4 linked regions of the Notamacropus eugenii genome follow. The protein of the gene in region 3 purifies or fractionates together with the protein of the main gene of each other region. This does not show direct contact. Links are inferred from orthologs where the notes say so. Each region holds a gene or a part of one and is shown on either strand. Other genes may lie near its edges.

What was found.
Region 1: the proteins of TIMMDC1 (region 3) and ACAD9 purify together in Homo sapiens (affinity purification with mass spectrometry; 3 studies listed by BioGRID and IntAct, counting the BioPlex papers as one, with this or other methods). This does not show direct contact. The link is inferred for Notamacropus eugenii from reciprocal best matches to the Homo sapiens genes TIMMDC1 and ACAD9.
Region 2: the proteins of TIMMDC1 (region 3) and NDUFA13 purify together in Homo sapiens (co-immunoprecipitation; 3 studies listed by BioGRID and IntAct, with this or other methods). This does not show direct contact. The link is inferred for Notamacropus eugenii from reciprocal best matches to the Homo sapiens genes TIMMDC1 and NDUFA13.
Region 4: the proteins of TIMMDC1 (region 3) and ECSIT purify together in Homo sapiens (affinity purification with mass spectrometry; 3 studies listed by BioGRID and IntAct, counting the BioPlex papers as one, with this or other methods). This does not show direct contact. The link is inferred for Notamacropus eugenii from reciprocal best matches to the Homo sapiens genes TIMMDC1 and ECSIT.

Annotation. Positions count from the first base shown.
Region 1 is NC_092874.1:425,041,765-425,049,371, forward strand, and holds the start of ACAD9 (complex I assembly factor ACAD9, mitochondrial), read left to right. Parts: upstream 1-4,593; 5' UTR 4,594-4,756; coding exon 4,757-4,927; intron 4,928-7,607. UniProt on the Homo sapiens protein: As part of the MCIA complex, primarily participates in the assembly of the mitochondrial complex I and therefore plays a role in oxidative phosphorylation.
Region 2 is NC_092875.1:55,807,273-55,815,189, reverse strand, and holds the start of NDUFA13 (NADH dehydrogenase [ubiquinone] 1 alpha subcomplex subunit 13), read right to left. Parts: upstream 3,015-7,917; 5' UTR 2,897-3,014; coding exon 2,803-2,896; intron 1-2,802. Other genes in the region: TSSK6 (testis-specific serine/threonine-protein kinase 6), read left to right, coding at 3,748-4,566. UniProt on the Homo sapiens protein: Accessory subunit of the mitochondrial membrane respiratory chain NADH dehydrogenase (Complex I), that is believed not to be involved in catalysis. Complex I functions in the transfer of electrons from NADH to the respiratory chain.
Region 3 is NC_092876.1:346,696,162-346,703,394, forward strand, and holds the start of TIMMDC1 (complex I assembly factor TIMMDC1, mitochondrial), read right to left. Parts: upstream 3,005-7,233; 5' UTR 2,704-3,004; exon of another isoform or gene 2,584-2,703; intron 2,094-2,583; 5' UTR 2,080-2,093; coding exon 1,886-2,079; intron 1-1,885.
Region 4 is NC_092875.1:78,404,863-78,412,590, reverse strand, and holds the start of ECSIT (evolutionarily conserved signaling intermediate in Toll pathway, mitochondrial), read right to left. Parts: upstream 3,015-7,728; 5' UTR 2,777-3,014; intron 1,140-2,776; 5' UTR 1,109-1,139; coding exon 977-1,108; intron 1-976.

The sequences.
Region 1 (7,607 bases), on a different chromosome or scaffold from region 3:
TACTGCTGAGAACAGTTAAGTCATTCACAGCTGATCGTCTTACAATACTGCTGTTACTTTGTAGCCAGTACATTTCACTTTGCATCAGCTCATGCAAGTCTTTCCAGGTTTTTCTGAGAGTATCCTGCTCATCATTTCTTACAGTATAATAGTATTCTATCATAATCACACACCACAATTTGTTCAGCCATTTCCTAATTGATGTGCATCTCCTCAATTTGTAGTTCTTTGTCGCCAGAATGCTATAAATATTTTCACACAATAGGTCATTTTCCTTATTGTTTTTTATCTCTTTTGGGATACAGACCTAATATGGTATTACTAGGTCAAAGGGTATGTATGCTTTTATAACCCTTTGGGAATAATTCCAAATTGCTTTATAGAATGGTTGAATCAGTTCACAACTCCACCAACATTGCATTAATGTCCCATGTTCCCACTTACCCTCCAACATTTGTCATTTACCTTTTCTGTACCATTAGTCAATCTAATAGGTGTGAGTACCTCAGAACTGTTTTTATTTGAATTTCCCATTAATAGTGAGTTAGAGTATTTTTTCATATGCTTATAAATAACTTTGATTACTTCATCTGGAAACTGATCATATCTTTTGATCACTTATTATTTGGGGAATGGCTCTTATTTTTATAAATTTGACTCAGTTCTTTGTTTGTTTGAGAAATCAGACCTTTATCAGTGAAACTTGCTTCAGTTAGTTACTATTGCTAACTGTATTTCCCTCCATCCTATTCCATCACCCCTTCCCCCCTCATTTATTCTATTTTCCAGTGCTGATTCAATCACTCCCAAGGCCTGCTCCTGGTTTGCTGAGGTTGGGGCTGGACTCTGTTTCACTCTCATCCAAGTGGAACAGAACTTTCCTGCTGACCTTCTAAGTTGTCTTTGGCATCTATGGGCTGAGAGGTCTGGAATCTACCTCTGCTGCCAGTGATTCGTAACCAAGACCTGCTCCAGATTTGCTGGAGCTCAGACTGTGCTTCTCTCTCACCCTGGTGCAACAGACCTTTCCTGCTGACCTCCCAAGTTGTCTGGGGCTAGAAATTTGTTTCACTTTATCATTTTGTGGGTTCTGTTGTTCTAGAATTTGTTTAATTTTTAAAGGTATTTGGAGGAGTTTAGGGAGAGCTCAAACAAGTCCCTGCCTTCACTCCACCATCTTTGTTCTGCCCCCTGAAATCTCTTTTGAAAAATACTTCATGCTGGGATCAAAAACTATTCACCATTTTTTCAATAAAGAAAATTTTTATGCTGTTTTTCAGTATTGTTCAGTCTTCTGCACCAATGAAAGGACTAACACTAATTAATAAGGATAATGGAAAAGTACAGAAGATCCATTTAGATAATCTACCTAATCAGGCAGCCTCTACCTAGCAATATGAGATGGCAGCCATCTGGTTTATGCTATTCTGCAGCATATAGATTTTTTTTAAACCACTGCTGAAGAAGTATCTCTCACAGCCTACTTTACGTACTCAGAATTTTCTTGACTTGCCAATTCACACATGGTCAGGACTAGTCATTAATGCTTTCTGGCATTATAATTATTAGCTGTACCACTCTGATCCTTGGTCATACCCTTCACTTTCCATGTACTAGTGTGCTAGAGTATACTTGGAAGACATTAGATTCTGTTCTTTGGCTAAAATTTTCCAAAATAAGAAATTTTCAGCGAGGCTGTGTCAGAGATTCACTAGCCTTCAGGATTTTCCATCACAAACTATTTCTGGGGTATGAAGCTAGGCTGTGGTAGATAAAAGTTCAGCACAGTTCTTGTAAATGCCTACCTGAATTTGATGAATTAATGAATAGATGAAGTGGAATTCTATCTCTCTCTTTTCAGAAGAGATTGAAACTCTTCAGCTACAGATATAGACAACGCAGATTTATAGAGCACTGTGACATTTTCAAAGTGTTTTCCCTACAACAATCCTGAGGAATAAGTAGTGTGGGTACATCACAATTTACCAATGAGAAACTGAATCCTAGTGGCTTGCTGAGGATCACAAGATTATTATTTGAGGCAGGATTCAAGTCTAGGTCTTCCGACACCACATTCAACATTTTATCCTATGCTGCCGCTCAGAAAATTAGGCATCTGAAGTGCTAAATAACCTATCCCCACTTCCTTTGTTCCTCATTCTAGACACTAGTTATTACTTGGTGAATGTACCTGCCACAGACTCATGGAGCCAAGTTGACTCAGTTATGGAAATCAGGGACTCTATGCCTGGGGTCAGGGTTAGAAATCATCTCCAAAGTGGGGGCTGGTGCCTCTGAGAAGTCATGGCCCAACCCTAAGGGGTGTGTGATCAGTCATTTGGTGGGTACCAAGATGAATCAGATCCTATCCTTCCTGTGTGATGATTTTTTAAATTAAATTATTTTATTTGTTTTCAGTGTTCTATGTCTTAGATTTTTTCCCTCCCTCCCCCTCCTTCTCCCCTCCCTCCCCACTTCATCCCTGAAATGGCATACAATTTTATACAGGTTCTATACATACATTTCTATTAAATACATTTTCACCTTAGTCATGTTGAATAGAAGAATTAAAATGAATGGAAGAAATCATAAAACAAAACAAAACATAATACAAAAGAAAATGGTCTGTTTCATTCTGTGATCAAATTCCACGGTTCTTTCTCTGGAGGTGGAAGGCATTTCACCTCGAGTCCATTGGGAATTTTTAAAATCCTTATATTGCAATGAAGTACTAAGTCTACCAGAAAAATGCCTCATACACTGTGGTTGTTGCTGTATAAAAAGTTCTTCTGGTTCTGCTCCTTTCACTCAGCATCAGTTCATATAAGTCCTTCCAGTCCTCTCTGAAGTCTTCCTGTTCATCATTTCTTATAGTACAATAGTATTCCATTACATTCACATACCACAATTTGTTCAGCCATTCCCCAATTGATGGGCATCCCCTTGATTTCCAGTTTTTGGCCACCACAAAGAGAGCTGCTATAAATATTTTTCTACACGTGGGACCCTTTCCCATTTTTACGATCTCTTTGGGATACAGTCCTAGAAGCAGTATTGCTCAATCGATGGGTATGCAAATTTTTTATAGTCCTTTGGGCATACTTCCAAAGTGGATCAGCTCACAGCTCCACCAACAATGAATTAGTGTTCCAATTCTCCCACATTTATCATCCTCCTGTTTTGTCATGTTAGCCAATCTGATAGGTGTGATGTGATACCTCAGAGCTGTTTTGATTTGCATCTCTCTAATCAATAGCAATTTAGAGCATTTCTTCATGTGGCTATAGATAGCTTTAATTTCTTCCTCTGAAAACTACCTCTGTGTGATGATTTAAAAGGTTCAAGAGACATAGTTTCTGGGTAATTTAATCACTTTATTAATAAGACTAGTGCATTATTAATATAAGGATGGTCATTTGGCCCTCTTTTAGAACAGAGACAGTCATGGCAGCAGGCCCAGGGTTATAAATAATCATCTCTCTCTCCTGCAGTAGTAGTTTGTCTCTAACACAACTATTCTAGCTTCATGTCTCCCCTTCAACTGTTCTGGCTTCTGATCTCCCCTCTTCTGACCCTGGGGTCAAACTCAAAGAAGGTGGCCACTAAATCACATAAGGATTCCAGCTGACCTGTGTTAACTTAGAAAAATAATATATTATGGTTGTTCTACTGTATTTTTATCATGTTAAATACTTCCTGGTTACATTGTAATCTGGTTGTGGCCTCACTTGGAAACATTGTAGCACCTTTGCTCCAAAGAATCTCACTCACTTTCCAGGGGTGATGGGGAAGTCTTCAGCAGAGCAGTCCTTTATATTCAGGCTTTCCAGCTCCTAGTTCAGTGTTCTTTATAAAATTATTAATTGGCAGAGAAACAAACGCATGCTAAAGCAGTTAAGGAATAGTTTGCTTTGAGTTTTAACATTAAATTGCTTGTTGAGGCAACATGGTGTGGTGACTATGGAGCCTAACTCAAAGCCAGAAAGAGCATGACACTTCGTGGTTGGGAGACTAGCATATCACTTCACTTCTCCAGGCTCTAGGCTAAGAGTAAGAGTTCCCAAAAAAGTGTTGACCTGCATTGGTAGAGTGACCACCCCTGCCAGTCGGGAGCTCACGATTTAACGAGGGAACCACTCACAAAAACCCACCCATCTAGGGAGATACAGACAGGATAAACTGGAGATAATCAATAGAGATCCACAATTCTCCATCTCCCGACCTGGTGTCTTTGCATTGGCTGTGCCCCCCGTCTGGAATGCTCTCCCTCCAGACTCGGCTCGAGTGGCCCCAGCTGCGAGTGCCTTCCCCGCTCAGCTTGCCCTGCTTTTATACCATAGGCGCCTCATAAGGACGCAGTCACTGACACGCACCCTAAGGTGGGAACTCCTGGACTGCCAGGACCGTGTGGATGCGGCCCAACACAAAGAAGGCGCTTAATTGACGCTGGAGCAGCGCCTCCAGCTCCGTCACATGCGACCCGGTGGTCCGAATCATCCAGCTTTAGTAGGGAATAAATAGGGAGAAGGAGTGGGGAGGAGGAGCCTTCGCTCCACGTGCCGCACTTCAGGCTGCGCAGCCGCAATCCGGACCACAGAAGGGAGGCTGGAGGGGAGGGACCGGGGCTGCCGGGAGCCCGTAGCCGCTCGTGACGCCATCTGGAGGCGTCCGCTTGTGACGCAATCGGGAGGCGCCCGTGCCTTTCCCGGCGCCTGGGGCTCCTCTGTGGCAGCTTGGCACCGGCACGCGGAGCATCATGAGCTGCGGCGGCTTCCTCCTCCTGCGGGCGGCCGGGGTGGGCTCCGGCCGGGTCCTGGGCACCCTCCTCCAGCGGCCGCGGACGGCGGGCAGCCTGCGGCGGCACCTGCGCACCGGTCCGCGGTGCCAGTCCTACGCCAAGGATCTGTTCCTGGGGAAGATCCAGAAGGTAACGGCCGGCCGGCCCCGGCCGGTGGGGAGGGGGCCTGGACCTCCCGGGCCCTCCTGTCTAGCCCCGCTGTTGGCCAGCTGTGGGAGCCCGAGCCAGTCCCTTTGCCTCTGCGAGCCTCGCTTCCCTCATCTGTAAAATGGGCAGGAGGCAGGCAGCAGTCCGGGCTTGAACCCGCGCTTCGGGGACGGGCGTGGTGCCACGGCTGGACCGCTCCCTCCCCTCTCCGGCAGTCCCGGGGGCCCCCGTAGTCCGAGCGATCCCCAAGGTGGATGTCACGTCCAAAGCCTCTGCACCTGCCCTTGCCCGTCCCCCAGCACGGACCGCTCTTCTGAGACCTTTTAGAGACCTTGGACCAGAAACAAACACACACGCACCTTTATCGTCGCTATCCTCTAGCTGAAAGGTAGCATTTTCTTATAAGGTCTGAAAATATTCGGAGAAGGGGCCCATAGGCTTCACCAGACTGCCAGCAAAGACGAAAAAACCCTCATCTCCTTTTAAAAGTCAGGAACCAGGCTGAGGAGAGGGGAAGGGATTTGCCCACCTTCACGTGGTAAATTAGTGGCGGGACTGCGGGACGAACACAGACCTGACTTTCAGTCCGATAATCTTTAAAACAAAAAATTTTTTCCCTAATGTTTTTTTCTTACCCCACTTCTCTCCCCTGACAGCCACCCACAGCAGCAAACTGAATTCAAGGCTGTCACTGTTGGAGAAGTCTCTACCCCCTACTTCTTCATCCATCCCGAGGATGCTGCCAGATAAAAGTTCACTAAGTACAGCTTTAAGCTGTATGTACTTTTTCTTAATCCATTCTAAGTATAGTGCTTGATAAATCTTAAGTACGACTTTAAATTCATCCTTGCCTTACTGACAACACCTTTAGTGGTTCTCTACAGCCAATTGATTATATAGTTCCTGCTTAGATGAGACTATAAATGTATGTGAATATTACCTCCTTCCAGTCAGGGTGTAATCTGTCCACTCCCATGAATCTTGTCTATGTCTTACCAGGATTTTTAACATATAGGTGCCCATTGCAAGCAGCTTAGGCTGTCCTTGACTCTTACTGTGTAAAATCGCAGAGCTAGACTTAGAAGAAATCTTAGAGGTCATCTAGGTCAACCTCCTCCTTTTAAAGATGGGGAAACTGGGGCCCAGGAATGTTAGTCATCATCTGAGGTGAATTTGAGCCCAGGTCTAGAGTCACTGCTAACATAGGATTAAGGCAATTTGATATGAAACTTAACTAAATTGATATCAGCTCATTAAGGACTACTCTCTGGTTCTAGTCATTAAACTGGTTCTGAATCTGAATAAATCACCTAAAATGTTTAGTCTGATCCAGAGGTGTCTAACTCAATTTGAATGCTGCAAACCACATTAAATGTAATTGAAAATGTTAAAATAAATAAAAATAAAATATAGATACTACAATTTGTGATTTTCCAATTCAGTATGTGGCTATAGGGTTCCATTTCTGTTTGAGTTTGACACCACTGATGCAGCCTGTACCACTCCATCTTGTCCACAAGGGGCCTTGTCCGTAAGAGGCTTTTGTTAACATGCTTTAAAGTCTGAGTTTACTGTGCCAGCTAGGTGATGAACTAGATAGAAAACTCAGTCTGGAGTCAGGAAGAACTGAGTTCAAATTTGACCTCAGATACTTACTCGCTGTGTGACCCTGGGTAAGTCACTTCCCTGTTTGCATCAGTTTCCTCTTTTGTAAAATGAGCTGGCAAACCACTCTAGGATCTTTGCCAAGAAAATCCCAAATGGGGTCACAGAGAGTCGGACGTGACTGAAATGCCTCGGCAGCAGCAGCAAACACTACGTTCATGGCATTCCTTTGGTTTATCATTTCAGCTGCCTTGTCAGAAACAGGACAAGATGAGTCTGGCACCATCTGTTCTTGATGAAGCCTAGCTAACTGCATCTTCCCTAAATGCTCACAGAGCAGCACTTGTAATGGCATTATAGGATTCTTCAATAATCAAAGTCAAGCTCCCTCATGTATAATTGACAGATCTCTCTCTTTTCCCTGCCTTTCTCTCCCTCCCTTGCTCCCTCTTTTCCTCTCTCCCCCCTCTTCCTTCCTTCTCTCCTCTTTCTTCCCCTTCTTCCTCTCCCTACTTCTCTTTCATCTCTCCTCTCTCCCCTCTCCCTCTCTCTCCTTTCTCTCACTCTCCTCTCTTCTCTCTCATTCAGCATTTTCCCTTCTCCAGTTTTATTCCACCTGTACTTCTTTGATCAACCATTATATCTCCCCATTATTCCATTACCTGGACTGAACCTGGTGACTTGAACTTTCTAAGAACACGTAGAAGCTGTCTGGCTGTATCTTCATTTATCTTGCATTTCTGTTCTCTGGTAATTATTTTTGTGGTCTCATCTTTATTCAGCAACATATTATACCTTAATGATATGTAAGGGTCATCTTGGACAAAAAAGGCATGTAACTTTATAGAACATAGATTGTAATCTTATATGTGGGCTCATCTAATGTCCTACGATTCTAAGAAAAGCAGCAAAAGTCATCGAACTTAAGTGGGGCAACCTCAAACAAGACAGGACAGGTCACATTGACATACAGCTTGGACCCATTTGGCAGAGTATTATTAACAATAATAGCTGCTGGGAGAAAGGTATTCACAAGTGGCCTGATAACTCGGCTCTC
Region 2 (7,917 bases), on a different chromosome or scaffold from region 3:
CCCCAACTTCAGCACCATCCCTGAACCCCCACTCTCATCCCATGTGGCCAATCATCTGCCAAACCTTGTCATTTCTTTCTCCATAAGAACTCTCTGAGTTCGTCTCTCTCTCTCTCTCTCTCTCTCTCTCCTCATATAGCTACCATGATGGTTCAAGTCTTCCATCATCTCTCACTTATTACTGCAATAACAACCTCCTAAGTGGTCTCCTTCCCAAGTCTCTCTGCATTCCAATCCCTCCTCCACACAGCTGCCAAAATGATTTTCCTCAAGTTCAGATATGACCAGGACAGACAACTGTCCTAACACAACACACACACATACACACACACACACACACACACACACACACACACACACACACACACTCTCTCTCACACAAAATCAATCTCTCTTTCTCTCTCCACTCTGTCTCTTTCTCCCTTTCTCCCTCTCCCTCTTCTTCCCATCCCCCCAGTGGCTCTCTATTACCTCTAGGATTGAACATAAACTTTTCCATCAAACATTTAAAACTTTTCAGTCAGAATCTACCTTACACTTCTTAAACATTAAACACACTTGATGGTCCAGTCAAATTGGCCTAAAGATCACAACACCAGATTTGGCAATTAGACCACTTCAGAGAGATGTTTGGAGTCAAGAAGGACAGGAGCAGCAGAGGAAATAGAGGTATCTGGTTTAGATGGCCTAAGAACTTTAACTGAGAAGAGGAAGAGAAATACAGGATCATAGCTAACTGGTGTGGTAGAGTCTAGTGGAGGATTTCTAAAGATGGAGGAGACCTAAGAAAAAGGGTGAAGACCAAACAGAGGAGGCTGACAAATGAGAAGGCAATTAGCTGGAGGGCAAAGATGGGAACAAGGGCACAGGTAGAGGTTAAGACTTGGGGAAAGGAGCCATCTCATTATCAGAGATTAGAGAAAAGGAAAAGAGAATAGGGGATGATGTGAAGGGGCTTTAAGAAGAGAAGGGAAGGAGGAAACTCAAGTAAATGGCCTCAATTTTCTAAGTAAAGAAGTAAAGTTGTCATCTTAGAGAGGAGGAGAGGAAGGTCTGGGAGGCCTGAGCTATCTGCTATAGCTCCAATGAGGATGGTGAGAGGAAATCAATTAGTAAGAAATAAAAAGGATTGCCTTACTACAGTGAGGACTCAGCTGAGGTTAGGTAACACATATGTAGTCCCCCCATTCAGTGCACTTGCATGATTCCTCTAGCTTCAACCAGCAGCATGTAAGAGAAATGGAGGTAAATGATGAGAGGAATACAGGTCAGGAGGTTGGTATGGAATAAGCAATGAAAAGACAAGGGGCCCAAAGATTGAGGTGAGGAGGGCATGAACGAGAATGGTGGCTACGACTGGAAATAAGAGGAACAGGGCTGCTAGGTGGTGCCAGAGTACACAAAGCACTGATGAGGAATCAGGAAGACTCACACACTTACTAGCTGTGTGACTCTGGGCAAGCCACTGTTCATCTCAGTTCCTCATCTGTAAAATGAGCCAGAGAAGGAGATGGCAAACCATCCCCAGTCTCTTTGCCAAGAAAATGCCAAATGGGGTCACAAAGAGCCGGACGTGACTGAAACAACCCAACAACAAAGCAAAAGAACACTCAGAGAAATATGGGAGAGAATAAAGACTCGGCAAATAATGGGGCAAGGAAAAATCAAATGAGGACTCCAAGGTGGAAACCATGGGTAACTAGGGAAGGAATGAATTTTGTTTCAGACATGCTGATTGGGAGAATCTTACAGGTCTTCCAGCTTGAACCGTCTAATAAAGCTGGTAATAGAAAGCAGGTCTAGGTAGATATCTGGGAGTCCTCTGCATGCAAAGTCAAATTTACCTCCTTAGGTTAGGATCTCCATTTCCCAGTGCTTGGGTCAGATGTCTATCTAATGTTTTTTCTAATGAATTACTGTTCTTTTCTGCCATTATGAACAACCATAGCTATTATACAGCGCTTTAAGGTTTTCAAACCACTTTCCACATAGTCTCATTTTATTCTCACAGCCACAGATGAGGAAATTAGAACGAGAGGTTAAGGTGCTTGCTTAGGGTTCACACAGCCAGGTGTCTGAAGTAAGATCTGCACTCAGATTCACTTTCTGATTGCAAGTCCCCTGCCTGCAGGCACCCCCCTCCCATGTCTGGTACTCATCTTCCTATACTGCACTACTACTAGCTATATTTCCAATAGTAGTAGCTAGTTAGCTAGGCAGATACACGTGCAGTTATCTCCAAACGACTGGTAGATACAGTGAAAGGAGAAATCCACTGCAGGATTGCAGAGATCAGGTAATCCCTTACAGTGACAGTCTTACACGAGTGGCAGTGCCCTACAACGTATAAAAAATAAAATGGAGAGACAGGAGAAGAGTATATATAGCGTACTCTCTCAGCCTCACCAGGTGTTTAAGCAAATGACCTCTGCAGGTTTAAAGTCTGGGCTCGGACCCCAGAACGGTCGCTGATCTCTTTCTCATTTCTGCTGGCAAGACTCTAGGCAAGAGAAGACGCTGACCAGCTGTCCCCGTCTGAGAAGCTCCGTCTCTAGCCCCAAGCCCATCACCCCGCGCTGGGAAACCTGGGACTCCTCGGCCTCTGGGTTCTAGGGGCGCTCCTGACTCTGACACCGTGTTCTAAGCTCTCTGGGGCTTCTGAAGAATGGGGAGGAACGAGGGGCTCCGGTCCGGGCAACCTCGGGGCGCCGGGGGTGCCCTGCCCCCTCCCCACGCTTGGGGCCCTCCAGCTAAGCCGCTAAGGGTAAGAGCGGGGCCCCGCCTCCTCCACGAACCACTGACCCGAGATTCCCCGACGGGGCAGGTTCCGCTTGTAATCGATGGGACCGTAGCCCCCTGGCGGGGGCATGTCCTGCTTCACCTTGGACGCCGCCATCTTGCCAGCCCAAGGCACTTCCGACGGCGAGGACCCGCGCCGGACGGAAGAAGCCGGAAATGACGTCAAGGGGCGCGAGCCCGCTCCGCCATCTAGAGAGTGGCGGAAGCTACTGCAGAGAAGGTCTTAAAGGGGCGGGCGCTCCACGTCGGAGAGGGGAGGGTGGAGCCAAGGAACGCCCCCTCCGGCACCCACTGGCGCACCCGCCCAGTAATGGTAGTACCGTCTGACGTTGAAGCAGCTTTTTAAAGTTTGCAAAGCACTTCTGGAGGCAGCTCCGTTAACGGCGTTAGGGTTTTAAGGGGTGCCCCTAGGAGTTAGCGCAGCAGGGATCCAGTCCCAAACCGGCCCCACCGCTGACCTTGACCCCCCCCCGGCCAGTTTGAGCTCCCCATAGTTTACTCCTTAATAAAACAAGGGGCTGGGCTAGCCAGCTCTGAAGGCCCAGCACCTCCTGGCCCATGGCCGCCAAGGGGGGGTGCCGCCTCAGCGTTACCCTGCCTGGGGATGCCGGTCCCCAACATCCCTCGGAGGACCCAGCCTCACGTCCAACCAGGCTACGGGTCTGGGCGTCTTGCCATCCCTTACCACGGCAGCATCTCCATCTCCATCACGTCACAAAACGGGCCCCGGCGTGCAGAGCCAGGACACATGCGGCAGCCTCCCTGCGGCCCGTGACGCCCTCAGTCACTTCACAAGGCGGAAATTGTTACCTGGGCGATAAAGGGCGGCGGGGAACCCCGGGGCAGGAGTGGGCACATGGGGGTCAAGGTCTGTGGGTGCCAAGCGCCATGGGTTAAGCCCCAAATCGAAATTCGGAAAACCCTCCCGACGCTCTCGCCCCGTCCATCATGTCTGGAGACAAACTCTTGAATGAGCTGGGATACAAGCTGGGCCGCACCATCGGGGAGGGGAGCTACTCCAAGGTCAAAGTGGCCACCTCCAAGAAGTACAAGGGCACGGTGGCCATCAAGGTGGTGGACCGACGGCGAGCCCCCCCGGACTTCGTCAACAAGTTTCTGCCCCGGGAGCTGTCCATCCTGCGCGGCATCCGCCACCCGCACATCGTGCACGTCTTCGAGTTCATCGAAGTGTGCAACGGAAAACTGTACATCGTCATGGAGGCCGCCGGCACCGACCTGCTGCAGGTGGTGCAGCGCAGCGGGCACATCCCGTGCGCCCAGGCGCGCGAGCTTTTCGGCCAGATCGTGGGCGCCGTGCGCTACCTGCATGACCACCACCTGGTGCACCGCGACCTCAAATGCGAGAACGTGCTGCTGAGCCCGGACGAGCGGCGCATCAAGCTCACCGACTTCGGCTTCGGACGCCAGGCGCACGGCTACCCGGACCTCAGCACCACCTACTGCGGCTCGGCCGCCTACGCGTCTCCCGAGGTGCTCCTGGGCATTCCCTACGACCCCAAGAAGTACGACGTGTGGAGCCTGGGCGTCGTACTCTACGTCATGGTCACCGGCTGCATGCCCTTCGACGACTCGGACATCGCGGGCCTGCCCCGCCGCCAGAAGCGCGGCGTCCTCTACCCCGACGGCCTGGAGCTGGCCGAGCGCTGCAAGGCGCTCATCGCCGAGCTGCTGCAGTTCAGCCCGTCCGCGCGACCCTCCGCCGGGCAGGTGGCCCGCAACAGCTGGCTGCGCGGCGAGGCTTGCTAGCGCCCACCCTCGTGGGGCCCCCGATCTCCTCCTTCTCCTCCCTTCTCCCCGGGCTCACTGACCCTCCCCCTCGATCTCGCGCAGGGGAGAGGCACGAGGGCGCCCGGCGCCCAGGGGAGAGGAGCGGGAAGCTCTCCTGACCTCATCCCCTCCATTCCTTTCCTCCTTTCTCTCCCGCCCCCCCCCGCCCCCCCAGTCTACGGGTGTGAGACGGGAGACCGCCCCTCCCCCCCACGGCACCCGGCGGTGGGGGGGGATGGGGGGGCGGGCGAGGGGTGGGTATAGAAAAGGGGCATGACCAAGATGCTAGGGACAGAGCGAGAAAAAAAGAGGGTCCAGCCGCGCAGAAAGCCCGGAGCGAATGAAAGTGCCAACACTCCGCCGGGCAGGAGGGAGATGCCGAAGCCCGCAGAGCCCCTACTCGAAGGTGGAGCGCAGTCCGGAGACCTCGAGGCGTCCCACCGTTGGCCGAGACCTGCGCTGGCCCTCCCTCCACCCCGCTGGACCCGACAATAAACTCGCTCTCTTGCTAGCAACCCCGGATTCTGGTAGCTGGACGACTAGGAGGAGGGGGGCTAAGGGGGGAAAGGGGGTGTAGGGGGGAGGCGCAGGCAGGGCAGGGGCAGAAGCGACTTTTGCCGCCCCACACCCTTCCTTGTCTGCCTGCCTGTCGGCCCAACTCCATCCTCTCCTCTAGCCTGGGAGGAAAGGGTGTATAGGCGGGGTGGTGGAGCGAGTAATTTGAAGGATTTAGCCCTTGGACAGCCAACGTAGGCCCCTTTCGTACACTTAAAACTTTTTAGACTCCCCGCCGTCATCACTGTGCCCTCTTTACAAGTCCTGCTGGGATCGGGGAGCAGACTGGGGGTAAAAAAGGAATGGAAACTTACTAGCCGGTGGGGGGAGGGGAATGAAAGGGAAGGGTGGGGCGGAGTGACCTCAGCTGGGGTTCTGTTCCCCAGGGCCCTTCCTGCCCCTCCTCCCGGGAGACCCGGAGCTCAGGAAGCCAGCTGTGAGATGGCCAGCATCTTAAGAACTGGATGTCTAACAGCAGGGCAGGGCACTGGAAAAAAAGATGTTTGCCCTAGTTCTGGAGGCAGAGACAGCAGGGGAAGAAGCTAATAGCCCTGGTTGAACTTGGCTTAAAAGCCCTAAGCCAGGTAACCACCTTTACCTGTTTACTACCCACACTTGAGGTGAGCCACCAAGCTTAGCAAGGCCTTAGGTAGCCCATCCATATGGCAGGCTAGACCCTGCTTAAACTAGCGTTTACCAACTTGCTGGGCTGGAAGGCCAGGCTCAGGGCTTTGAGGCGGCATGAGGTTTAGGGAGATCACCCAGGGCCTGTTTCCTTAAATAAGAAATGTCAGGGTTGGACTAGATCATCTCTAAACCTCCCTCGGAGCTCTAATGCCTATGATAAGCAAAGGGTGCACGAAAAAGCCTTTGTACTGTATCTCTTTGGGTCACTTCCAGGACTGCCAACCTAGCTCAGGGTCTCCTAGATCTAGGGGAGAGCCCTAGAAATCTTCTGCACTATCTAGAAAAGAGCAGGAAAAAAGTGAGGGGTTCCCACGGAAACCAGCAATTCCCTTTTGCCCAAACACCACTAGATATTTATGGGACACCTACTGCGTCTTAACACAAGGCATTAGGAAAACAAAATGGTATGAGATCTGCTCCCTGTCCCCAGTGACTCAATCGCTAAATATGTGTGTACTTGGCAGGGTTCTAGGTGTTGGGATTACCAGAAGTGACAGCCCTTGCCCTCTGAGAGTTCAAATTTTGTGGGCATGCTTTAGTCTAAAAGCCCTCAACCTACAGAGCTTTACTTCCCATGTTTGAAACCTCCAGCCAAGCTTAGCAAAGCCTTATAGCCCATCCCTACAGAGGGCTAGACCTAGACCACAAAGGCTAGGGTTTCCCCACTAGGCAACTGATAAATAAAGGCAGAATATATGCAAAATAATGACACAATGATGAGTACAAACAGTTTGTAAGAACTAGGAAAGTCATCCCATAGGAGAGAGCAGTAAAGTTGAACCTGGAAAGTCTTCTGGAGGGGCAAGAGGCAGAGAAGTAAGGAGAAAGAACTCTCCAAGTGCAAGGATGCAGGAGATGAAATCTGTGATCCATAGATCCATCTGACACCAGATTACGAAGGATTTTTCATGCCAGAGGGAGCACTTAGGCTTCTTGACTTCTTGAGGATATGAAATTGCCAAGACTTGGCAACTGATAAGATGCAGAGAGATGAGAAAGGGTGAGTCAAGTTTGACTCCTAGCTTTCACCCCTAAAGGTTTAGAAGAATGGTGGTGATCTGAGCAAAAACAGAAGTGAGGAAGGAGGAGGAGGAGGTTTAGGGGGAAAGATGCTGGTCTTGCATGTGTTGAGTATGGGGCATACAAGGAGAGATAACTAACAGGTTGTGAGGCAAACTGGAGTTCAGGAGAGCCATGAGGGTTGGATGTGTAGACCTGGGAGTCATCTGCATAGAACTGACAGTCGAAACCTAGGAACTGATGAGAGAATGTGTATAGAGAAAAGAGCAGGCCCAGCAAGTGGAGTTTGTCTTTGAATTAGGGGGCCAGGCATAATGTGCAATAACAACGCCAGTACATATTCTGTTCCCTTCTTTGCAACCCTAGCTCTGGTAGGTAATGCAGTTGTCATGAGCTCCATTTTACAGATCGGGAAAACAAGGCCACAGAAGTTTCCATAGTAAAACACACACAAAAAAAATGGCAGCTCACATTTTCTGGCACTTTGCAGTTTATAAAGCACCTACATCATAACCACCTATTTGATAGAAATAGCACTGAATTTGAGGTCAAAATGTTTCCATTTTTACTTGAGAGACTGTATGACACAGCACAGAATTTGGACTGAGGAAGACCCTGGGTTCATATAGTCCCTCAGATGCTTACTAACTGCATGACCCTCAGCAAGTCACTCTCTGTGACTCGGTTTCCTGATCTGTAAAATGAGAAGTTTGGATCTAATAGCCTCTAAATTATTTCCAATTTCTAAATGTATGGTTTTCCAAGTCTCTGAAATCTCTGAGTCTACCTGTGTGACCTTGAGCAAACCCTTTCACATTTCCTCATTTTTAAAAACATTAAAGGATATGGGTCTATATGGCCTTTTAAGATTCCTTCCAACTTTAAATTTCTTATCCTATATCTAAGGTTCCTTTCCTACTTTAAAATTCTAAGGGAATTAATTGCTCAGGTTCACACAGAGCTAGGGTGGTGTTAGAAATCTAGGCTTCTGATTCTAAGACCAACAAGTGCTCTGGGGCCCTTTGACCATTACCTTTCTCCACTGACATAATGAGGTTGAAAGGATGC
Region 3 (7,233 bases):
TAAAACAATTCTGATGTATCACCTCATATCTATTAGATTGGCTAATAGGACAGAAAAGGAGAATGACAAATTTTGGAGGGGAGGTGAGAAAAATGAGACATTAATGTACTGTTGGTCGAGTTGTGAACTGATTCAACCATTATTTAGAGGAATTTGGAACTATCCCTGAAGGGCTATAAAACCGTGAATACCCTTATAAACCCTATAAACCGTGAAGAGTGCCACTATTAGGTCTGCATCCAAAAAGAGATTAAAAAAGGGAGCCAGGAGAGAAGATCTATATGTACAGAAATATTTAGAGTAGCTCTCTTCTGGTGGCAGGGAATTAGAAGGATGCCCATCAGTTGGGAAATGGCTGAACAAACTATGCTATGTGATTGTGATGGAATACTATTGTTCTATAAGAAATAGTGAGTAGGATGCTTTCAGAAATACCTGGAAAGACTGACATGAGCTGATGCAAAGTGAAAAATACTGTATACAAAGTAACAGCAATATTGTAAGATGATCAGTTGTGAATAACTTAGCTATTCTCAGCAATACAATGATCCAAAACAAATCTATGATGAAAAATGCTATCCATCCCCAAACAAAGAACTGATGGTGTCTGAATACAGATTGAAGTGTACTTTGTCACTTTATTTTTCTGGAAGTTTTGTGTTGTTTTCTTTCACAAGAATATGAATGTGGATATGTTTTGCATGACTACACATGTATAATATATAGAATTGCTTGCCTTCTCAATTGAGGGGGATAGGGAGAGAAGAAGAGAGAAAATCTGGAACTCAAAATTTTAAAAATGATGTTAAAAACTGTTTCTACATGTAATTGGGGAAAAAATAAAATACTAAATAATTTTTAAAAAAGAAGTGATATGCCCAATTCATATGGACAATCAAAGACTAGTAGAATCTGAGCTGGAAATTCTCAGACACCAACTGGCCCACCCTTTGTGCTCTACAACATTCCCAAGTGGTCACCCAACCTATGCTGGAAGGTCTCCTCTACTATCTCTAATCTCCGCACACCTCTACCCTCTGGGACTCCTTATTCACAAAGTGATAGTCTTCATCCTTCATCCCAAGAGTCAAGATATGAATTTAGATCTTTTGATTGCAAATTCAGTGTTCTTGTAACTATTACTACTACTATTAAGAGTTAAGACATTGGGTTTGAAGTTTAGCTGGGCTACTAATTAACATGACATATAATTTTCCTAGGCCTCCTCACTCTTTTAGATAAAATAAAGGAATTATTGCTTTTCATAATTCTCCCAACTTCAAAATCCCATGTTTCTATAAGTCACAGATGATCAACCAAAATTCTGACAAAAATGAGTGGTAAGAACAATAAATCCCTGCTTTACTATTTATCACCTCTGTGTGGGAATTTGAACAGATGAATTAATTTTTGGGGGTTTCTTTTTTATCATTTGATAATGTGGGGGTTGAACTAGATTATCTCTAGGATCTCTTCTAGTTCCTATAATGTATGAGCCTGTGAAACTTTTCTAGTTTCCTGGGCCATACAATGTTAGGTAAATGTATTGAAAGAATTGTGATTCAAAGTCTTTTATTCTTAACAAAGCTATTAAGTATTCCTGGAAGTTACCACTTGAAAACTTAGACAGGCTTGTCAAACAATTACTGACCTGCAAGGTCTGTATATCTTATAATGAAATCACAGGGGGCAAATATGAAAAACAAAAACAAGCAACCAGTCAAGAAAAGTTCAGTAAGTGGTAGGTGGGAATGAGAAACAGACTAGAATCTCAGAGTTCTACTTAAGGCCATGTTAGGCTGCACTGAGGCTAAAACCCTATTCTGCAACGTCTCCAATGAACAATTATTATTAATAACCACTGAGAATTAATCGTTATATTTACTCTCTGACAATAAGCTCCTTGAGGCGGTCCCATCCTGACTCTGGGTAAAACGGACCCTTAATGTGAGGAGGTAGAGTCTTCTCAGGAGAGCAGCTCGAGTCCGTTGCAATGGTGCTTTCCTCAGCAAGGACCCTTGGGAAAGGCACCAGAGCCTCCCATACTCTTCTCAAACAGGTCTTCTGCGGTCTCTCCATCCCAGTTCTTGCAACTATGAAAACACAGCCAAGTGACAAAAGTTAGTGCCATGGAGATCTTGGCGGTAGGCATAAGAAAAAGAAGGGGCAAAAATAAAAAGGTAGGAAGGGAGTGATGGGGAGAGGGAGAAAGAAGAAAGGGAGAAAGAAAGAAAACAGAGGAGAGAAAGAAGAAGAAAGAGAGAAACAAGGAGAAAGAGAGGAAGAAATGGAGACAGAGAGAAAAATGGGTTGAGAGAATAAAACAAAAAAGGGAAGAATGAAAGAAACAGAATGAAAGCATAAGGGGCAGAAGGGGCGAGAGGAAGGAAAGAAGAAAAAAGGTAAAAAGGAACAAGAAAAAGAGGGCCAGTGAAACAGAAAGAAGGGAAAGAGGGAGAAGGAAAGGAGGGAGATAAACAGAAAGAAAGAAAAAAGAAAAGAAAGGGAGAAAAAGACCAAAACCCCAACAAGGAAACATGGGCTAGAAATAAAAAAAACCTAGTTTGTGACTTCCCCACGTACATGGGCCTGTGCTGGATACACACACGACTTTTATACACACACGTTGTCTTTTACACGCGCACGCACGCGCACGCACGCACCCCTGTCTGTCTTTGCCTCTGTCCCAGAGCCGGCCCTTACCTTCCAGCCCTCCCCACCTCTGGGGCACCAGCCTCGGGACAAGGGTACCTGAGAAGCGCCGGACTAGGGCTGTCCGGATGCCCGAGCTTCCAGGTCCGACTCATACAGTTACTAACTGTGCGGCCCTGGCCAACTCACTTAACGCCTCTAAACTTCTTTCTCCATCACTTTAAAAAAAAAAAAAAGACACAAAACTTGAGAGGGGACCGGACAGATGACCTCCAAGATCCTTTCCGACTCTAGCTATCCCTCCCTTACCGGCTTCTCGGGTCTTACCCGGAAGCTCTTCCCACCAGCAGACAGGAAGTCCCGCCCATGACCCGGGGTGCGCTGGAGGCGCAGAGGTGCGGCTGCGCACGACGCCGTTGCCTAGCGATCGAAAGGGCTGGTGCGCTTTTTCTGGCGCGTTCCGCCGCAGCCCTACCCTTGGGGAATTTGTGTGTGAGCCAGCCACCCTTTATCTTACGGATGAGGAAACTGAGGAAGGGGTTACCCTGCCGGTGCAGATCTGATGAGAAGGAAGCTGGGGGCAAAGCTCGTTCCCTCTTCCTAGATCAGATAGAGCATTTATTAAGCGACCACTGTGTGCCCAGAGCTTGTGGAGGGGGAGGGGCAGCGCCCTTGGCTCCCCAGGAGCCCTCTCCTTGTGTGCTCAGTTTTATTAGCATGGGACTGGCCGTAACCCTGCACGTTTGCCAGTTTTTGGATTTGATTTTCCCTTCCCTTCTTTTTTAATCAGGTGAACTAAAGATTTATCAATTTTATTAGTCTTTTCAAAGAACCCTCTTTTGATTTTTTTAATTCTTTCTTTGATTTCTTTCCAGCTTATCTATTTCTCCTCTCATTTTAATATCTCCTCTTTTATATTTATCTTAGATTTCTTTGCTTTTCATTTTTGTTAAATACACACGCACTTCATTAATCCTTTCCTTTTCTGCTTTGATTCTGTGTAAGAGTATGATTTTCCCGTGGAGGACTGAATTAGCTGCATCTAAAAGTTGGTAACATTGTTTCGTCTTTGTCATTTTCTTTTGCATAGTTTTTATTTGTTCCTATGATTTGTGCTTGGATTCACTTATTATTTAGTGTTTCATTATTAAGTTTCTATTTGGGTTGTTATCTTTTGTTTGTGGTCCTTGAACTAGTTACTATTTTTGTTGCATTATCTTCTATACAGGATTAACTGCCTTTGCTTTTTAATATTTATTTGCAATATTTCTGTGCCCTACTTTATGGTCAGTTTTTGTAAAAGTGACATGTGGTATTTTCTTTTGCTGTCCCATTTAGAAAATTTCACAAATTTTCCTCTAGCTACTCCAGGAATTTGTTTCATTTCCATATTTTTCCTTCTGCTTATCTATTAAACTTAATCCAGAACTGAGAAAGAGATATTGGAGTTTCTTGTGACTATTGTGTTACTGTCTGTCTCTTCTTGTAGCTCAGATGATGTCTCCTATGTGAATTCGGGCGCTAAGGCATATTACTGATATTGGTTTGTTGTCCACAGTTTTTTTCAGCGTAGTATAGTTTCCTTCTTTATTCTTTTATTTTTTGAATGTTTATTTTTGCGCTGTCAGATAGCATAATTGCAACTCCTGCTTTTTTGGATTCAGTTGGTACATAGTAAATTTTTTTCCCATCCCCTCAGTTTTATTTTGCATATACTTTTGATTTTTAAATGTGTCTCTTGTAAGATTGTAGAGGATTTAGATTATTTAATCATTCTTATTTCATTAGAGTTCATATTATGACAGCTGGGTTTATATTTGTCACTATTTGTATTTCATATTGGGTTTTTATCATTTTTCCCACTTCTGTGGGAAGCAGAACTATGTTTCTTCAGTTATTTTAACTTAATTTTTTTAAGATGGCCCTATTCCCACTAGCTGGCTTTTCACCCCTGATCCCCTTCTCTCTTGTAACCCTTTCCCTTTAGGGTTTTGCTTTATTAGTTTCTTTTTTCTTCTTGATTTGTTTCTAATTGTTCTCCTCTTTTTCTCCTTAGGCAAGTAGATTCCCCCTTTTCATATTCAACTAGTCTTGTTCATTAATTTCATTTTTGCACTTCTTGGCAAAGAGAATTTCTTTCTCTTCTTTATTCATTCTCTTTGACTGCACTAGACCCTTATTCTCAGGTTCACAGTCCCTATAATTATCCGGTTACTCTCTATTCTCAGTATTTTTCATGTAATCTAAACTTCAAAGCTATTCATTTTTAGCTCTTTTCTCTTGGCAATTTCTTCACTACCCTTTAGAGCTTGTCCAGTGGATTCCCCTTTTCCATTGTGTCTCACTCCTAGGACGGTGCTAATTCTTGAAGGTGTCAGAGAGGATGTGGCCCCATGTTAGCTCCTTCCCCATCCCTGATTATGTAGTTCATCACTGATCTTTACTCTCCCCCATTACCTGAGTTTTTTTCCCATTTATCTAAAAATCTCCTCTCTGGGGCCGTGCTGTCCTGCTCCCCCAGGTGCCAGTTGTCCCCATGAGTTACCTCTTCCCCCCTTCCCAAGGCAGGACAGATGGTCTTTTAAAGCACCAAATCCCCCCAAATGACACCCAGCACAAGATCCCTATCTCCTATCACAGAACTACTTTCCTCACCCATAGAAGCATCATCAGTGGAACCCCCTCCCACCACAAAAGCAAGGAGTCTTTTCAATCTTTTCAATCCTTTCCTCTCCTCACCCATTCCCCTGTAGGCTTCTCTTCCTGAGAGACCACAAGAGTCATCTCCTCATTGCTAGCCCTTTATTTGACTCAGGCATAGCACACCTTCCCCTCTATATCCTTGATCCTCTCCCTCCCTTTCCATTTTTTAATGAAGTCCCACAGTGTACATTGATTCACCTGTAGACAGTTGTCTGATTCTGACCATAACACCCCAGGCCTGCCTCTCTATTGTTACCTCCACCTGACTTCTTTCTTCACCTGTGTCTCCTTGTTTATGTTCAGGAAGAAGAGTTTCTGGTCTTGCTTGCATCACTATGTTGCTCCTGCTGTTGCTGTACCTATCACTGACTACCGAATTTATTCAGCCCTGCTACATTTCTGTTGTCTGGAACGTTCAAGAAGCAAATAACCTCTTTAGTTCTGGTTTTCTAAGAATGATTCAAATGCCTCTTTATTATTGCATGTCCATCTGTTTTCATTTATGAAAATTTTCAGGGTAGGTCACCCTGAACTGCATCCTGAACTCCAATGCTCTTTGGAACACATTTCTCCATTCCCTCTTATATTTTATGGTTGTTGCAGAATGGTCTTGTGTTACTTGAATTTCTTTTCTTTCATATTTTGAAGGTCTTTCTCCTGACTGTATGCAGAACTTATTTCTAAATTGAATTGTTGAATTTAACTAGTAGTGTCTTCGAGTTTGCAACCTTGGTTTTGTTTTTTGTTTTTTTCTGGAGATGATCTATGATTTCTTTCATAGATCTTCATTTTCTTTGTTCAGAAGTTCTGGGCCAAGAGTGGGGAACTTGCAGCCTTGAGGCCATGTGGCCTTCTCGGTCCTCAAGTGCGGCCCTTTGAATCCATCACAGAATATGAAGGACTCGAGGACCTAGAGAGCCACATGTAGCCTCATGGCTACAAATTCCCCACTCTTGGCAGTTTACAAGGCAGTTTTCTTCTGGGACACCTGTGGGTCTTTAGGCTATCTCTGTGCATCTTATTTTTGAGATCAATATATTTTCCCTAGATAGTGACCATATTTTCCTTTAGTGTTATTGTTTTTTTGCTTTTCTTCTTCTAAATTGTCCATCACTTCTATGTATTTGCATTCTCAATTATTGTTTTGTTTCTTTGATGAGACTTGCCATTTCAGATTCCAGTTTTTCCATTGTGCCCATTATTTTTGCTCTACAAACCTTAAATTCTGCTCTCATAATTTTCATTTCTCCTTTGAACCACTCAGAAACAGCAAGTTGTGATTCAGTGTTCTCTTTACATTCCACAGGTTCTCTGTCTCAAGTGCTGTATCATTTTCCTTTGTTTTATAGAATTTATTCACAGATGTCTGAACTTGTTTACTAGAGGCCACATTTCCTTTTGTTGTTTTCCCCTTTGCTTATCTTCTTCAGTTCAAAGTCTGAGTTTTCTTCTTGGTGAGATCTTTGGTAATTTATCTTTTATTTCACCTTAACTTTCCCGTTGCTCCCTTTTGACTTCTTCCCCTCTGATGGCTGTTTCCTTGGGGGCTAGGTCCCAGAGTGTCAGCTTCTTCTTAGACATTGGACAATTTCTGGTTCATCAGTCTAGGTCTCCACCTATATTGTGATTTCAAAAGGGATTCGGATTCGTCCCATTATGTATGATTAAGGAAATTTATGGTTCAGATTCGCACCTACAATAAGATGCATTTGAGAAGAAGAAGCTGGATATTTTATTGATTTACAGAAAAGGCAAATGTATGAACAGTTTAGAGCTATAGCATAAATAATTAATATAGCCTAATACTAATATAATTATAGCAATATTAATATAGATATGAGGAAATAGAAAAACATCACCAGTTCGGGGAGCACCAAC
Region 4 (7,728 bases), on a different chromosome or scaffold from region 3:
CAGGTAGCTTGCCTATCCTACCTCCATCGGGTGGGGTTTCCTAGGGGGGACCTCATTCCTTTCCTAAAGGAGAGGCAGTAAACTACAGGTGAAAGATAACTGGAACTGGAGTTTAAAAATGAGATTTGCATTCTGGTTGTTATTTATAGATATAACCTTGAATTCTTAGCTCTCAACCTCTCTGGACTTCAGTTCCTTACTTGAATACTTGGTCCTGGGGTTTGTTATCTACAAAAGAGCCTAGCTGGCTCTGAAAAAACTCAAGCCTTCTCCTTCCTCTCCCCAATTTGTAATCCTGAGGCTCCAAAATCTTTCAATAGTATTGTCAAGGGAACTTCCATCTTCCCACTAACTTAAGTTCCCAACTGAAGCATTATCATTGACTCTACTTTCTCTCATATAACATATCCAAACCACTGCCAAATCTAACCAAGGATTCCCAGTACATCTACGGGCTCCTCCTTCTTTCCCACGATAGCCAACATCTGTATTAGGAAAAGGATTTTCTATCTTCAACACAAAGTTTTTTTTATGTTTGCTGAGGACATTTGTGTTCTTTTCCATTTATATTTTCAGATTTCCATTCCTAATTTTTCTCAGTCTCTCTGAGTACGGATGGCCTGAGAAACTGTTAAACATTCAACAGAACTTGCTGAAGGAAATGCTAGCCAGGAATGACACCAAAATTGAACGGCCACGTGAAGATTTATACTAAAGAGTCAGTTTTAGATGGAACTAAAGAAGGCAAGTGAATGGGGCACAACCAGAGGGAACCTGGTGCCTCCTCCTATCCCCCAACCTACTCAGGCCTGAAAAGAGGGAAACAGGATGAAAAACTGGAAGGGGTGATGGTTTTATACACTGTAAAACAATGATGTGGAGGTAGAGGACCTCTGAGAGAAGGCCAAGAGAGCTTAAATGGCTTATCCAAAGTTAGGCAAGTAGGTGATCTCTCTCCCTACCCCATCCCTTCTACCTGTAAAAGGCAGCTTCCTTCCAGCTGCCAAGGGCTGTGCCCTGGAGCAGCTCTGGAAAGGAAGGGGCGACCCACGGAGTGATCCCAGGCTAGGACAGCTCTCCGTACGCAGTTCATCCTGTTGCTGGCCATGGTCAGGAATTAATGGCAACCAGATGCCTACCTAATCCAAGGAAAGGATATGTGGTTAGCTGACCCAGAGAATGGCCTTGGAAACCTCCCTGTACACGTGCACATGCACATGTGTGCGTGTGCACATGCGTGCGTGTGCGTGCATGCATACACAAACACACCCCTCAGAATTATCCTCTTTCCCTCCTCAAATGCTCTTCTCTTCCAATATTTGATACTATTACAATGCCCAGGGTGTGTCCATCCTCTCACTAACCTAGGCTCCCAGCTTTAGAGTACTCCTTGATCCCACTCTCCTCCAACATATCCAATCCATTGCCAAATCTTATCACTTCTATACTTCACAGCCTCTCTCCCGTACATCCCTTTCTCCCCAATTACACAGCATTACATTAGTTCAGGTTCTTACAGTCTTAAGCCTAGACTATTACAATAACTTCCTAACTGGTGTTTGTTCCTAATTCAAGTCTTTCACAAACCCAATCCATCCTCTGTTTGATGGTCAAAGTGATCTTTTTAAAGAGAAGGCTGGACCTGGTCACATCTACATCCTCAACAGATTTCAGTAGCTTCCTATTACCTCCAGGATGAAATATTCAAAATTCTTCATAGGTTGGTGCCTTCCTGCCTTTCTAGTCTACCTCTCTGAGTGAATGTAAATATTAAATAGTAACTGTTTCTCTTTTACCCAGGAACCCTAAGGGTCTTCCCCCACTCTCTTTTTGTTTTTGTTTTGTTTTGTTTGTTATTAGAAAGGCCATCCCTGGAGTAACTACTTGAAGCCTATTCATTGAATGGGTATATCTCACTCAAAGTGAGAATGTGATAAGACCTTAGCCTAAAAGGGCCAGGGTCTCCCATTGCATCCTGGGCCATCTCCAGTCATCCTGATGAACATCAGACCCGGATGTCTCAGGAGAAGAAAGTGAGGCTGGTGACCTTGCACACAAAGTCAACTGCAAGTCATGTCATCTTGATGTCACGGTCCTCTTCCAGAACAAAGGACAAACACAACAACCACCTCTCTGACCCAACTACTTTGTACTCCTTACTGTTTCTCAATGAGGGTATTCTGGCTGCCTCCCAAACCTGGAATGCTGTTTTTCCTCACTCCAGCCTCTTAATTTCCCTGGCTTCCTTCAAGCTTCAGCTGAAAGCCCTCTTCTACACAAAGTCTTTCCCCTCTGAGATTCCCTCCCATGTACTCAGTAATGAGCTTCGGGTTGGCGCCCCCGCCATGCTCCATAACAGCAGAGGCTGTTTTTGCTTTTCTCGGCGTCCCCGTGGGCGTGCAGGGCCTAGCACACAACAAGCACTTCATACACGCTTGATGCCCGCCCGACACACCTCCACAACGCCGGGGCTAGCACAGAGCGGCTGGGGGACAGCTTCGAGCCTGCGCCGGCTGGGGCACGGGGTTCACGGGCTCAGCCTCCCCCGCCCCTCCCCCCACTCGCACCGCGCGCTTCCTGCCTAGCCTGGGGCCTGGGTTTGGGACGGGGCTTTGGAGGGCCACACATCCACATCCACATGCACACGACACAATACGCACGTATACTCACGCGTGGGCACTTTTCCTTCGCACACTTACACACACAAACACACGCCGCCCCACTCCTCCCTTTCCCAAACGAGATCCAAGGGGAAAAGGTCACCATGTCCGCAGACCTGTGGCAAAGCGCGCTCGGAGGCCGGGCCGGGATCCGGAGGCCGGCGTCCGGGCCGGTTCTCGAGCTACGCGACGGCGATTCCCAGCCACAGCGCTTCTCAGCAGTCTCCGGCTCTACTAGACGGTATGGCTGGGAGCAGCCATGTTGGTCTTCAGAGCTTCCGGGTCACAGGTCACGGGGCGCCCGGCAGAGAGCGACCGGATTTCTCAGAGGAAAAAAAAAAAAAAAAAAAAAAATCTTTCAAGATCAGGAGCCAATGGGAAGACGTCATTTAGATAGTCCCGCCCACCATTTTTGAAAACCCCGCCCCAGGTCCGCCTACCCAGGTCTAAGCAAGAAGGCCGTTTCCGGCGCAGGCTGCACTTGGAGGGGCTTCCACCGCGTGCGCATCTCTTGGCTTCTGCGCTCCTCGCGTCAGGCCCATTAGGCCTCAGTTTGCTCATCTGCGAAATGGGTAGAAATTGAGGCGGCTGCGTGGTGATAAGTGAGCATGAGCCCAGCGTCTTTCCGGTCCGTGGCTGCCAGGACTGATAGGGACCCAGCCCCGGTGCAGCCCTGATGGACAGACAGATCCGGGGAGAAACACTGGATGGAGGGTTTCCGCATTTCTCCGGGGCTCTCCGAGCCCCGCCCTCGGCCAGTTTACAGCTGAATCCCCGAGGCGTCCAAAGGAGTTGATATGTTTGGTAGGATGTAGAACCCCAAGTCACCTTAGACTCCAGTTGTGCGCCCTCTTTTTTTAGGGATAGGAGACAGCAGTAATCACAGATGTTGATGACAAAGAGGTCGTTTTTTTCCCCACCCAAACAACGACCTTATGAGCAAGTGCTACAGACATTATCCCTATTTTTCGGTTGTCCTTTCCATCCCTACATCTTCTTTTATATATGCTGTCTCCTTCCTCCTAGTTCAGGCTCCCATCTCCTCTACCCTGGAGGATCACAATAACTTTCCCTTTTTATTTCTCTACTTCAATCCTGGATTCCCTTCAATCCACACACACACACACACACAGACACACACACACCATTCAATAAACTCCAGTGGTTTTATGTTACCTCTGGGATCATTTTGGGTATTTCACAAAATTTCAGAATCTGAGAGTTGGAAGAGAAGTCAATGACCATCTAATCCAATTTATGTAATCCTTACATACCTTTCTAGTGGTCATCCATTCTCTGCTTGAAGACTGCCAGGGATAAGGAAAACACCACCTCTGTGGTACCCATTACTCTTTTATATAATCTTAATCATTAGAAAGTTTTCCTGACATCTAGTCTAAATTATCTTCTTTGTAACTTGCTTCTGGTTCTGTCCTCTGAGGATAAACCACACTAGTCCAATCTCTCCTCTGCATCCATCCTTTAAATACTGCTTGAACACAGAGAGTCAAGGATCGGAAGATGGTGCTGTCTTCAACAGTCATAGGGAAGTTAGGAGCAAGGGAGAGTTTAAGGTGAAAAATGATGAGTTTAGTTTTGGACTTTTGAGGCCCCCCAAACGATGAATTAATCACCGAATGGAGTACACTAAGTATAAAGGAATTTTCCTAAACCTTTATGAAAATGTGTGTGGACAAGCCTTTTTTATCATTTCGAAAGGATCCTGGGGCTTTGGCCATTTGATGAAAGGCAAATGATGCCGCACAGGAAACAGTATAGGCTTGCCTGAAATGATCAAATGTGCCTCTAGACCTACATACAAAATAGCAAACTACTTCCAAATTTCATAGACCTACTGCAAGCCAATAAGGGGGTAGAAAAGCCCTTGAGAACAAAGAACAAAGTAGATAATAGAACAAAGTAGAAAAGAGAACAAAATTGAAAAGTGTCTCTCTCTTTTTCCCACTTTCAGGCTACCAGGATCAGGGAGAGTTTGAGGTCCTATCAAAAGTTTCACCAGCACAGTACAAAAGAGCTGGATACACAGTTAAGTACAGGAGTCACAAGGTTACCTACTTTTAGGCTTGAGGTGGAGATACCTAGGCAGAGATGGTATAAGCAATACATGTTCTGGTACACCTGTAGACTGAAAGCTGATGCTTTTCCTTCCCTTGGCACCTGAGCAGAACTGGAGGAGAGAGTACCCACAACAATGGAGAAGTGGCCAGACCCAGCAGAAAAGTAACCTCAAGTGTCAGAGGCTTACCCAACAGCAAACTGGCTCAGCCTAGTAGCAGCTTGACCTTTCCAGAAGAGCCCTGCAAAAAGCCAGTCGTGTTGGTAAACTCAACCATCACTCAGACCATCCCCTGCTATGAATTTCATGATGGATCCATGAAGGGAGAAAGAACTTCTAGTAACCAGGTGCCTCACCACCACTGTGCTCTTAAGTTTGAGCTCACTTTCCCAAGGACCTTGTGTGTGCAAAGGGAGGGTGTGCCCTATTAGTCCATCTGAGGAAAATATTTTACCAACTGTTTTTACTATACCTTTTTAGTAAATATTCTTGCTAAATGTAATTGAGGATACTGGCTAAAAATAACCATGAAGCACACTGGTGGGGGCTCAGGATCAACTGTGTTAGAAACCCTAGGGCTTCTGATTCCCCCAGAACCTTTTGAGGCGTAGCACTAGCAGCTACCTTCTGAAGGACCAGACTTGTCAATTCAAGTGGGAGTTAGGCAAGTGGTCCCAGAGGAAGTGTTACATTTCAGAAATCACTAATAGAGGCTCAGCCATCACATGTGACAGTTCTTTCAGGACCCAGACATGTAGTTCATCTGGATCATCAGGTAACTTGAATTCACCAAGGGGAATTAAGGACTCTCTTTTGGCTTATTTGGGGGTATGAGCGCCTTACTAGCTATATTTGTTCTTCTGTATTGGGTGCAAAGGTTCTTCTTGGCAGAGAAAAGAGAAACACAATAATCTAAATATTGTAAACAGGTCCCTTCCAGCCTTTCCAGTCTTATTTTACATTACTTTACTCCGCTCTCTCTCTGAGACCATATTGGCCTACTTGATGTTCCTCCCACATAACCTCCATCTCCCATCTCCATATCTTTGTACTGGCTGTTTTACTCATGCCTAGAGTGCTCTCCCTTTTCACTTTTATGTCTTGGAATTCCTAGTTTCCTTCAAGATTCAACCATCATCTACATGAAGCTTTTCCTGGGCCCCCCAATTCTTAGTGCCTTCCTTTCACAAATTACCTTAGGTATATTGTATACTATATGTATGTATGTATGTATGTATATGCATGTATACATATGTTCATAGCTGTGTACCTACACACATGTTGAATCCCCTGTTAGAATGTAAGCTCTTTGCAGGCAGGCATTGATTCACTTTTGTCTTTGTATCGCCAGCACAGTGCCTGGCACATAGTAAGCATTCAATAAATGTCTGTTGAATGATTAATTCTGGAAACTGAAATTCAGTGGCAAAGGTGAGGCTTGAACCAGGATGGGAGTCAACAGTGGGGGGAGTTCTTACGCTCCTAGCCTAATACTCTTTCCACTTCACTTTCCTCCTCATCCCACAACCTTTGAGGGCCTCAAATCCTTTCAGCCTCTCAGATCCAAGGCTCAGCTTCCCCAATACTCCAGATGCCCCAGGCTAAAAAAGGATAGGAAGGGCCAGGCAGCTGGCAATGTCTGCCCCAGAAGCCTCTTGGGACCCTGAGGCTATTCCAGTTGGGCCAGCATCTTCAAGAAGAGTAGTCATGGGTACCCGGCAGGGAGCCAGAATTCCTGAGAGGGGGACGCCAAGGTCAGCACTGGGAGCTCCCTGGAGAGTCAAGGGTATCCCTGCTCCAGATGGTGAGAGGTGTGTCCTCCGATTTGGATTGGCTGGTATGGCGGCAGGGCAGGGCTCCCGGGTAATGCTTCTGCAGTCCCAGCTTTTGAATCCTGACGTGCTGGATGACCCTTCTGGTCCATCCCGCCCACAGCAGTGAGTCATCTGTTCCCGGAACCTATGCGGCCTCCCCTCCTCCCAACACCCCACCACTTACTTCATCTGTCTTCCCAACCCAATGCCCATCGGCTCAGGTTGTCCTGGCTCCTTCAATCTACACACCTAAAAATGCACCACTGGTACCCGCAGTCTTCCAACCACCAGCACCCCTCTCTCTGAAGCAGGGAGTTGTCTCCCAACATTTTCTAACATACCTCCATCCTAAGTTCCCACAGCCCCTCGTTCCAGATTCTCCTAATCCTAAATCTTCACACACCCTCCACCTTCAGGATTTCCCAGGAATTCTTAATTCCTCATTTTAGGAGTTCCAGTGTCCCAAGAACTCCTTAGTCCACCTCCAATCTTAGACAGGCTCTCCAGTCCTGACATCCCAGGGCTCTCCACTCCAATCCACCAGAGCTCAGATTCAAAGTGATATCAGCTTCTTCTTCTACCTTCCTCCACTCTTCTGCCTGGAGTCCCCTTTGATCCTCCCTGAAAACAGGTGCACACCAAGCACTGTAGATGGGTAGACCCAGATCCTGGCTCTTCCTCTAAATGAGCAGGGTTGAGATTATATTTCAGAAAAATGCTACAGGCTGCTTGCACCCTGAAGGTATCAGAACCTGGAAGGATCTCCTACTTCATTTTCCCCACTGTTAATAAAGAGAGAACTAATAGCCAGGACAGGAAAGAGAGGTACCTGAACCACAGCACCTACATCAGGGGTGAATCGTCAGGAATAGAAACATCTTCACCTTAGAGCTGGAAGATCTGTGATCCTGGTAGTCATGTCCCCATTACTTTCTTTGAAGCCCCTAAGGTGGGACTGCCTCACAGGGATGTAGTCCTGGGTATCTAGGGAAGGAGTGGGGAGCCCTTCTAATAGTCAGCATTTATTGGGAAGAAAGAAGAAGGGCTGGAGATCCTCAGCAATCCTATGGAGGATGGACTGGCCCAAATTTGTCCTCTGCTTTGCCAGGACATTGATGGGATAAGGTCCTAGATATAAGATGTTTTTGTGTCTGTATGTGCACCGATATGAAGGTAT